Linked DNA regions of Saccharomyces cerevisiae S288C. The gene in region 3 interacts genetically with the main gene of each other region. Each region holds a gene or a part of one and is shown on either strand. Other genes may lie near its edges.

Region 1 (3,801 bases), on a different chromosome or scaffold from region 3:
TCAAGGGCGCGCCAATTTTAGCGTCCATAGTAGCACCGAGGAAAGCGACGATAAATTCCAGCCCATTACGCATGGATATCGCCACTGTATCTTGTCTGAAAACAGCTCCGTACAATGGAGAATTAGGATTTGTGAACATGGTCTGGAAGTGACCCACCATGTGGGATAGATCCCTGTAGGTCACCTGAGTGTCCGTTTCAGGAACAATAACGGCGACATTATCGGATACGCTAAAAGTATCGTTGAACGAAGCAGTAACAGTAGCGGCACTTGTCATTGTAGCAAAAATGTGCGTGAAGCGTCTAACCTCTTGCAGCACAGTGGGAGTAAATTTCAAGAAGGAGCATCTATTAAAAAGAGCTTTTAATCATACCATCTCTATTTATATACAGTTAATCTTGAAAAATAAAAAAAGACCGAATAAAGGACTCGGAAGCTTTAGCTCGGAATAGTTAAAGACGCTTTCGGCCCGAGAAAAAAATATTCTGAGCACCAAAATCCAATCGCCTGAAGTTTATCAAGTAAATTTGCCATTCCTGGCCCCATATAGTGATGCCTAAGTGGACAGCAACATCGCGCTCTTACTTGTTAGTCGTTCTCATGACGAGCAAGGCAAAAGCACTCGTCCTCAGCTAAGTCGTATGGTATGACTGGCAGCGTGAATGGCACGGCCACATGGGTGGGATTACCCGCGCAGCCTCTACGGTCACGTGTAAAAGTACGGCACGTGACCTTCCTGGTATTTGCTAACCTGCGACTATGGTAAAGCACTCCTGCTTCATAATTGCGTGGTTTTCTTGAAACGGTGCCCCATGCTGTTTGGCTGAGGTTTGCCGAAGTATAAAGGCACCATTCTAGTTCTTTAAATACCTGCGATGCATCACAGGGCCCTGCGGAGTTTGTTGCACAATGCATGTAAAACTTAGAGTGCGCGGGCGTCGTCCCTCGTCTTCTAGTAACCATAGCAGGGTCTTGCTTGTAAAATACTTTGAACTTGTTTCGCAGCATTTCGTAGTAGCTCTTTTTCTGAAGATATTGAAAATGAAACCACCCGGAACTGGACCACTTTAAGGGACTGGTGACAAACTCTTGTTCGGTGGGGAAAATAATGTACGGCTTGATTTTTCTCTGCGAATATTCATTAATCAATGAATTCGTTGGCAGTATTTCTGCTTTCTTCCTCCCAGCGGTGTCCTTTGCTGGAGGGGACATGATTCCGGTAAACAGAGGAATCATTAGATGTGTCCATAAGTTTTCGTCTCGCGCTCTTGATAGAGATGTCCCTATGGATGAAGTTTGACATAGATAATGTTTTGCAGTATCACTAGCACTTGTGCCAGCAGAAAGTTTTTCTAGTTTATTGTAAAACGACAGTAAACCCGACGACTGAAATTTGGAGGGCGTAGAATATACAAATTCTAATTCGCTCAAAGGAGCAAAGTTAACTTCCTCTACGCTTTTTGTAATCAATTCGTCAATGTCTTTCAGGTGGTACGAATTGAGGTATTCTATCAAGCTTCTCTTAAACGGTACTGGTAGCCCTTCTTTACCTATTTTCAAAAGGGGACTGCACCAACACACCTGTTGAGGCAGGTTAGTCTCCATTGACGTAAAATTGTTAGATGGCAAGAATATTTTGCATTCGCCATTATCGTAAAAGTTTATGATCAGCTTCGTATGGTGGGAAGCGAATGGGGGCATCGTTATTTCAATAAGTTTGACCTTTTTTAATATTACTGCCAGTGTCGCGTCCATAGCACGGGCTTCGATAGGCATAATAGTACCCTTTTGGCCGACGATGGTTATGTTCTCTACGTTCTGGTGGAATTGTCTCAACAAGAAATCAAGTTCGTATTGGAAACTGAAGAGTATGCTTCTTTTTAGTGTCTCAGTGCCAAAGATATCTTTCAATGTAATCATATCCTCTACTTCTCCCATAAAATCCTCTCTTTCATAGAAGTCCGATTTCATTAGTTTAAAAACGGCACCTTTTGCCGTATCGTTTGTTTCTATTCTCTCACTCAAATCTTGTTCCTGATTAGTCAAATCAATGATTTTCGATTCACTGACTATGACGCAGTCGTCGCTATCATTGTTACTGTTGACCGGAGCCATATTCTCCATTTCAGCACTATACCTGACGCTCTTCCACCGTTGTGCTACTTTCTCGGCAACATCCGACCTCTTCCTCTTAGTTCCATTGAAATTTGTTTCTCGTGACATTAATGATCGGTTGAAAACACATTATCATCATTCTTGTCTGGGCTCACCGTTTCTCTGCATTATTTTCCTCTTTATAAGCCCTTTATTAAATTACCATTTTCGCAGTTTAGTGCGGCCGCCGAAAATACATCAGAAGGGATCCATACCAACACTTACCAAGAACGCTGAAACACGTTGTTCACATCACCTGAAACAAGCAGCAGCTACTGGAGAAGTGTGTAAAGTAGTAGTAATTATTAAAGGACACATATTGAAGGATTGTTCAATTTTCTTTTTTATTATTTTTCCCCTCATTTATCCACTTTTTATAAACTGCTCAAGTAAATACAATGGGCTCCAATAAGGAAGCAAAAAACATTGATAGTAAGAATGATAGGGGGTTAACCAGTATAACCAGTAACAAAATTTCCAACTTAAAAGCACATGATAACCATACAAGTTCAATGATTACTGAACATAAAAATGCTGACAAAGAAAAGGGGAAACAAGAAAAAGAGAGTAGAAATGGAACCACGCAATCAAGTAGTTCAGTAGAATCACACTCACCACAAGTAAGCCATCATTCAGATAAGCTCTCGTCCTTTGATTCGCCCTTACATTTGCCAAACTTTAGACTGGCGGATGACTTGTTCTCAAACTCGTCAAGACGATCATCTGACTCCGCTGCCTCATCCTCAGTATCCAAACTGAAGTCCGCTCAGCTTTCCAAAATAGGTCTACATCATCATCATACAAGTAATAATAAACATAGTCATAGAAGCGGAACTCCGACTTCCGAAGTGAAAGCTAATTACTCACCAGACCCTTCTGCACCGCGATTCATTGTATCCAATATGGTCGGCAATGGCCGGGGAGGTGGTGGTCTACACGGTGCAACTTCGAACGTTGTCAAGAAACTCCATTCTAGAAAAAAATGGGACTGGAACACTTTACCGGCATCAGATTCTTCTCTTCTAATCAAAACCGTTTCAGGAAATCATAATTTAATCAACATTTGCATAGACGGTGAATTCAAACAAATAATGTACGACCCGAATCATAATGAGCTCTTTAATAGAATGGACTTGTTTCTATCTTTTAACATGGACTCCTCGCCAGAAGACTCTTTAATATTTGCCAAGAAAAGATTACGGTCGTACATTGATTTCCTAACAAAATATTTGGAATCTAGGAAATATGCATTTGAATGTTATCCATTTAACATTGAAAACATCATAAATATAGAGACTGAGGTTAAATGCTTTCCATCGTTTGACCCGTTAAAAGATTATTCTGAAATTGAATCCTTGATTCAATTATGGTTGGCTCAATCTCAAAAATTTTTACTGCAATCAAATTCATTCTTCTTTTCATCTGAAGTAGTGGAGGAACTAATAAAAAGAAAACCAACCACAAGACAACATTCTAATCCAACAATCAGCACCACCAGCAACAAGATCAGTGACCCTACATTATATATTCAGCAGTTAGATATAGAAGCAAACTCTCCAAGGCCAGTAATATCGGATCCATTAGACGAAATTGACATCTTATTAATAAGACCGCTGCATAAAACCCTGGGCGGTTGGCAGCTGGCGT
Region 2 (4,882 bases), on a different chromosome or scaffold from region 3:
GGAGCCGACGAGAATTGCTCGACGGATTTTTTGTGCGTAATATCCTTTTGTGCTTGATTCCATAAATTCACAGCTGAATTGAATAACAGAGGCCGCTGGGTTGATAACTTAGACACAGTAAATATAACGGGCGAATGGTTCCGGATTAGACCAGATCTAAATTTTGATCTTACAATTCGCCCAATTACAGGACATCTTGGAAGAAGCAGCATTTGCAGGTTGGAGTGGAATCTATCAACAACGATATACTTACGTTGCTCTGTCGCAATTTTCGAAATTGTACTCTTTGCTGTGCTGATTGCTTTGTTTGCGATTATTAATGTAGAAAGTCATCGGAAAGCCCTCGCGCTCTTTCCCAGTGAAATTTCACGTGATGTAATCTGATGAAGGGCACGTATAGGTCAGTGACCTTTGCTGTGCAAATTGGGTAAGGTAATTTCTTTTAAAGACTTTAAGAATGGTAAAGTGAGGTACAACAACATATTATAAGACTTACTTGGTATGTACCTTACCTTCCTTAGATATTTTTCATGCTGCGTAGAAAATTGCACCATCTCCAATCGTCACTTTTATACATTTTCAAAAGAATATAGATGAGTATAGCAATATAGGGTTTACACATATGTACAGAAAAGCAGAATAGTAAGTTTTGTTTCATCACTTAGATAGGTTTTTAATTTCTTCTTCACATTTGGTAATGACTGCATTACTGGCATTGATTTTACCGGATAAATAGTCCAATCTGGTCTTGAAAAGTTTCTGATCAGGAACTTTCCCCAAAGGTTTTAATTCTTCTTCCCATTTCTTGATTCTACCAGTTTCAAAACCCACAACCTTTAATAAGTAACGGGTTTTTAGCACTTTTGCGAGTTCAGGATCGTTGATCAAGTATGTGAATGCTGCCCTGTATAGCGGTTTGGCAGGCCTGATTTCCTGTAAAACACCCCTATCTCTAGATACAGTTATTAAACCATTATTCTCCAATTCCATGATTCCCGTTTCTGGTGCGGCTTTGAATAATGGCTTGTTAACGATTTCATGGAATGGAATGACTGGGTTCGCACTCAATAATTCGATTAATTCCCAGGCTTGTGCACTTTTATTGCTGTCAATCTTGTCACTTAAAAACATTTGAGTTATTTGCTCAGAAGCCTGTTCAATCATTTTGTCTACTGCTTCCGAGGGCTCTTCTCCTGACTTTACCCTTCTTACAAATGCCTGTAAGTCTAACATCCTACCACCCAATGGCTCTAAAGAAGCGTCAATTTCCTGTAATTCCTTTTCATTTAAAATAACCTCAGCTTTTTTGACACTCGTATCGGCCTCACTATCAGAATCATTATTTTCAGCAGTTTCCTTTTCTGATTCAGGTTCTTTTACGTTTTCACCCTTGGATTTTTTATTGTAATATAAGTAATCCTCCAATTGGGATAATACATAGTTCCTCGAATTCTCTTTTGAGGCATCTGATAGGATTAGGTTTTTGAAGACTTGATTGGGTAGTGATTCGCTCAATCTTTGGTTGGATGCAACGGTTTCCGTTAAGAAAATCACATGAGCAATATTCATTTGAACTAGCATAGCTGCCCAATCGGATAGTTCCTTATACACAAATCCATTTATTTCCGACTTGCCCTCAAACCTATCTATGACGATAACGGGTTTAGCTTCCGGATGTTGCTGTAGGTAATCTTCTTCCTTAACATTAACTGTCCCATCACCGGTGGAAACAAAAGCCTTGTAATTCTTGAGAGCAATACGTCTAATGGACATCAATGAGGTAGTTAACATGTTTCTAAACCGAGATTCCTTCGTCTCAGACAACCCAGTTTTTTGCCCTGTTAATCCTTGCACTGTTAAATCAAGGACACCTGTGACAGAGTCAATCCATGGGAATATTGGGAAATAACCCAATTGACTAGCGGCATTTTTTAAAAACATAGGATCTGTTCTGGACTTAATCAATTTATCACAATCCAAATACAAAACATTTGCTCTATTTTGCAAAGTGTGTTGCATGACCAAATCATGTTTCCCTGAACCTCTAGGCCCCCTTATAACCACAAAAGTATTATTATTTTCTTCAAGCCACATTTTCAGGTCATTCACTTTCTCTATTCTTTCCTCCCATAAATGCTTTCTTTGGTGATTATCATCAGGGCCGCCCCAGTAGTACTTGATAGAAGTCATGGTAGATGAGGTTAGCGTTTTCAGTTGTTTCCAAAACTTATTGTCCCACGATAAAGAATATTTGTGAGTGATCTTCTGTTCAATCGAAAATTCTCTTATAGGATCAAACACTAAAACAGCAAAGATTGAAAGTAGCGCAAATAAAACTGGAATAGCAATCCTTGTATGGTTGGTGAAAAAATTACTAACTAGATGGCCTCTTCTGATATTTTCGTATTGTATGTGTAAGACGGTATTATGAATTTCGATACCGGAAACACAATTCTTGGCAGAAATGGCACCACGGAATGAACGGTATCTTACCTTTGCCACATTGTTGTTAGCAGCAGTGGGAGGGAAAATATCAATAATTGTCCCATATCTTCTGAATAAAGAGTATATTTCTTCTTCTGTTAAGGCGGGCCCTTGGAACTTGATGACTATAGTGGTACTTGGTAGTCTTCTTAAATCCTCAATCCAAGGCGAACCCTTTACTGGGAAGGCAGAAGCTCGAGTGAAGTACGAGAGTAAGTTTTTAGAGGATTCTCTGGCTGTATTCTGTTGGATTAGAGAATTTACCTGAGCTTTTGTATACTTGGGTGGAACGACAAATGTGGCAAATACACCACCATCCCTTTTCACTGGAATGGTAGACTTCAACTCCAGTCCATAAATGGGGTTATTGGGTGGACTGGCTAAATTCCTTATTTTCTCCCTCACTGCATCCCGTGACTGGTTTCTTAGCAGGAGATTGTACCACAGTGTTGGATTCCAAACCGAGGTGGTTCTAGCGTAAACATTATCGAAATATATCAGAGTTTCTTCATCTGATTTGTGAATAACACCAGTATCGGTGGCGGTGTTTGACTCTCCTGCCTGCTGATCCTTTTGCTGGATCTCGCTCGACACATGTCTCACTGAGGGTTGGGCATTCATCAGGTTCGCTAGTCTATATTTGCCCTTGAGGATGCCTATTCCTCTGGCGAGGCATGGCACTGGCATCCTTGACACATTCAGGGAAGTCGTTCGTACTAGCAACATGGTTTACTTTTACAAATACTACTTCCTGTATAGGCCCGCTATATTTTGGTTTTAGATCCTGTCAATACTGAGTTCATCTTTCATTTTCTCAATATAACATTACCGTTATCTCCCTTATACTTCTCAAATTCCCATCTACGGAACCCTGATCAAGCCCTGAGAAACTATATGAGGGTGTGTACATTGCAGTGCATCATTTGTGAGGGTTCAATAATTGAAATTATAGGGTGGACGTCAAGACGAAAAGTGAAAAATTACATCCGTATAGAATTATATAACTTGATGAGATGAGATGAGTAAATGACAGAAGAATTACCGTTTCATCATTGAACTTCGATCATTTCAATGCTGGCATGCGAAGGAAAATGAGAAATATCGAGGGAGACGATTCAGAGGAGCAGGACAAACTATAACCGACTGTTTGTTGGAGGATGCCGTACATAACGAACACTGCTGAAGCTACCATGTCTACAGTTTAGAGGAATGGGTACAACTCACAGGCGAGGGATGGTGTTCACTCGTGCTAGCAAACGCGGTGGGAGCAAAAAGTAGAATATTATCTTTTATTCGTGAAACTTCGAACACTGTCATCTAAAGATGCTATATACTAATATAGGCATACTTGATAATGAAAACTATAAATCGTAAAGACATAAGAGATCCGCTTATTTAGAAGTGTCAACAACGTATCTACCAGCAATTTGGCCCTTCTCCATCTTTTCGTAAATTTCTGGTAAACTGGATAAGCCAACTACCTTTATTGGAGACTTGACTAGACCTCTGGCAAAGAAATCTAAGGCTTCTCTGGTATCAGCTCTGTTCCCCACGTAAGAGCCGACAATGGAGATAGACTTGACAACGTGGTTGAAGACATCAGAGGAGCACTTTGCACCGGCTGGCAAACCAACCAAGACAACAGTACCGTTCGCCCTACAGTATCTGGTAGAAGCTTCGATAGCGGCTTCGGAAACGGAAACATTGATGATACCGTGGGCACCGCCGTTGGTAGCCTTAACGACTGCGCTAACAATGTCCTTCTCTTTGGTGAAGTCGATGAATACTTCACCACCGAGCGAGGTAAACAATTCTTCCTTTCCTGGACCACCATCAATACCTAAGACTCTGTAACCCATCGCCTTAGCATATTGAACAGCCAAAGAACCTAGACCACCAGCAGCACCAGAAATGGCCGCCCAGTGGCCTGCTCTCAAGTTGGCAGACTTCAAAGCCTTGTATACGGTGATACCAGCACACAAGATTGGCGCGACTTCAGCCAAGTCAGTACCTTGAGGAATGTGAGCGGCTTGAACAGCGTCAGCGGTAGCGTATTCTTGGAAAGAACCGTCGTGGGTGTAACCAGACAAGTCAGCGTGAGGACAGTTGGATTCGTTACCCAATTCACAGTATTCACAGGCCATACAAGAACCGTTCAACCATTTGATACCGGCGTAGTCACCGATCTTCCAGCCCTTAACGTTTTCACCCATGCCGACAACGACACCGGCACCTTCGTGACCACCAACTAATGGTAACTTAGTTGGCAATGGCCAGTCACCATGCCAAGCGTGCAAATCGGTGTGGCAGACACCAGAGTACTTGACGTTGATTAACAATTCGTTGGGCTTTGGCTTTGGAACTGGGATATCCTTATGCTCCAACTTGCCGTTGGATT
Region 3 (2,562 bases):
GAATCTGCAATATTTTTTAACCAACTATCAATTTTCGTGTCAACAAATTACTCTTTACCATGTAGACAGCTACTGATTCAGGCGCACATGAAGACCTATTCGCTTATTTAACAAATATTAGCGTATTTTTTGAGACTATTAACGTGTGTAGACCTCCAGAGGCTGCACTCTAAAAGCCCCCAGGGATATGTCTATACTGTCCTTTGAGAGTTATACGTATGAAAAATAGTAAGGAGACGTCTCTAAGCGTATTTAGAATATACGCTAAGAGTGACTAATGTAGGTAAGTGCGCAGTAATGGCTGGTAAACTTTTTTTTATACTAGTGCCATGTTGTACTGAACTTCAATTTTACAACTAAACTATGAAGCAAGTATCTTATCTTGGGGTTGTATATTTCAATTAAGTGGTTTCGTGGTCTAGTCGGTTATGGCATCTGCTTAACACGCAGAACGTCCCCAGTTCGATCCTGGGCGAAATCATTATTTTTTTGAATTTTTATATTAGTTTATTTACAGGGATAGATAATGAATGATAAAAAATGAATAGAACGTACTCTGCGCAAGCGCATATATATATATACTATTGTTGCTTCCAATTTATACAAGATCCCTTAATTGTTCCTCTAGCTTTTTATCTTGTTTCCAATTATAAAATGCAGTCGCTGCACCGCCAAATAAAACAAGGTTGAACACTATCCGCATTCCCGTGTACCCTACGTTCCATTCGTTGCCCTTGGATCTGCCACCACAGGGTCCATAAGATAAGAAATACGCTGCTTTGGTCTCCTCCAGCGGTATATGTCTCCAATCTTCTTGCATCCTCCATCGTAAGTATTCCTTGATTTCATCCCTAACTTCAGGTCGTAGAGTGGGCCATAACTTCGTTATATTCGTAATCTCTACTACCGGTGGCTGATAAGTGCTGAAAGATCTTTTCAGTGCTAGCCGAATACCGTTTCGTCCCATCATCTTCTGCCTTATTTCTACCTATGTTGAAATGATATCTTTTGGGTGGTCTTCTCTTTTCTTTGACGCGAAATTTGAAATTGCAAATACTTTTCGAAGAAGGATGCAAGTACACATAAAACGTATACTGTAAATAGGCAAAACATAAGCAGTGAGAGATATCCCTGCATATTCAAGGTTTACAATGACTTATGAACAATTATACGTACGTTGCCTGTAACGCTGGTTGATGCTATTCTTTTGATGTTTTTAACAACACACAGGACAATGAATAGTTCCCTTCCTGTTTTCTAATTCATAATTACTAACAAGTATAGCCAATTCGCCTTCTCGGCATTTGTGTAATCACTTAAGAAAGAGTTCCATTCCTCAAAGAGCTTCCAGCCATTTATCCACTTAGACACTCAACCAAAATTTGCAATTTGTGGTTTAATCGTTACATTAGCTGTATTATCATCTGCCCTGTTCGCCGTCGGTTCTAAATCTTCATACATTAAGAAACTCTTCTTCTACACAATTTTAAGTGTAATTGGCAGCTTGTTTGCTGGCTTGACCACTGTTTTTGCTTCGAATTCTTTCGGTGTCTACGTCTAGTGGCTCTTCGTTGGCCTATAAAGGAATTATCGATGAAATTATATACTATACTTAAGAAGTATTTTGGATGAGAATATTAAAAAGAAAGGTGTCAAGTAAATTTCATTATATAAACGGTTTAAGACATATTAATATGCGATTTTTGGGAAGATAATGACTGATATCACATGGCTTTGTTGTTTGAAGGTGCTTGTTTTATGCTCATAAATTCAACACATCTTCGTCGAAGTTAATAGCTTTGTAATATCTTGGATCTGAAGAGTTGGTTGAACCGAACGCGTTATACTCAAGTAATGTAGAAAGCATAGCTCTAGTGTTTGATATTACATTCTCTAATGCGCATTCGCTATCCTTATGTAAAAATGTTAGTATTGTGTTGTTACTAACTTGAAATAATCTCTCTTGTAAGTATTCGTCACTCAAATATCCTGATATCTCCTTTGGTGCCTCCACAAGTGGATTGGAATATGCTAACAATGCAGAGACATTACTCAATTGTCCACTAAACCTATCCCTCAAAGATTGTGGAATTTTAGTATCGTAGATAAATTCATTAGATAATTCTTGACCCTTCAAAATTAAATTTTCAATTTCGTCATCATCTTTGGATGAACTCTTTTTAATCATCACCAGATAATTCGCTAGTTTTAACTCAAATACCAATTCTAGATTATTTTTTAACAGATCTGGAATTTCGTTATCGATATAATTGATGCATTTGCTAATTTGACCTTTGTTTATCAAGTATCTTAATTCTTGCCTTATCTTTACCATACGTTCTTCTTTCATGATCTGTCTTTCATTGTGCCTGATAACATCTTTACTTTCAGAATGTTGCCCATTGACATTAACCGCATCTTTTTGCAAATCTTTCAAAAACCCCTTTGCAACATCCACCAATCCTTCGTGGATCAAATAATCATTTATCATCACGTTTAATGTATTAGGCAATGAACCGTCATCCACGCTTAAGTTGTTAATATTGTTCACGTCTGGTCTAA

What was found.
Region 1: mutations in MTC3 (region 3) and TDP1 are lethal when combined (synthetic lethality), as found in Saccharomyces cerevisiae (one study listed by BioGRID).
Region 2: mutations in MTC3 (region 3) and YME2 together harm fitness more than expected from each alone (negative genetic interaction), as found in Saccharomyces cerevisiae (2 studies listed by BioGRID).

Annotation. Positions count from the first base shown.
Region 1 is NC_001134.8:668,075-671,875, forward strand, and holds TDP1 (tyrosyl-DNA phosphodiesterase 1), read right to left. Parts: upstream 2,224-3,801; coding exon 589-2,223; downstream 1-588. Other genes in the region: PCS60 (Pcs60p), read right to left, coding at 1-277; YBR225W (uncharacterized protein), read left to right, coding at 2,553-3,801. UniProt on the Saccharomyces cerevisiae protein: DNA repair enzyme that can remove a variety of covalent adducts from DNA through hydrolysis of a 3'-phosphodiester bond, giving rise to DNA with a free 3' phosphate.
Region 2 is NC_001145.3:869,416-874,297, forward strand, and holds YME2 (Yme2p), read right to left. Parts: upstream 3,211-4,882; coding exon 658-3,210; downstream 1-657. Other genes in the region: ATP-binding cassette Fe/S cluster precursor transporter ATM1, read right to left, coding at 1-212; alcohol dehydrogenase ADH2, read right to left, coding at 3,876-4,882. UniProt on the Saccharomyces cerevisiae protein: Plays a role in maintaining the mitochondrial genome and in controlling the mtDNA escape. Involved in the regulation of mtDNA nucleotide structure and number. May have a dispensable role in early maturation of pre-rRNA.
Region 3 is NC_001139.9:71,748-74,309, reverse strand, and holds MTC3 (Mtc3p), read right to left. Parts: upstream 971-2,562; coding exon 599-970; downstream 1-598. Other genes in the region: OST5 (dolichyl-diphosphooligosaccharide--protein glycotransferase subunit), read left to right, coding at 1,152-1,172, 1,322-1,561; glucose-induced degradation complex subunit VID30, read right to left, coding at 1,763-2,562. UniProt on the Saccharomyces cerevisiae protein: May be involved in telomere capping.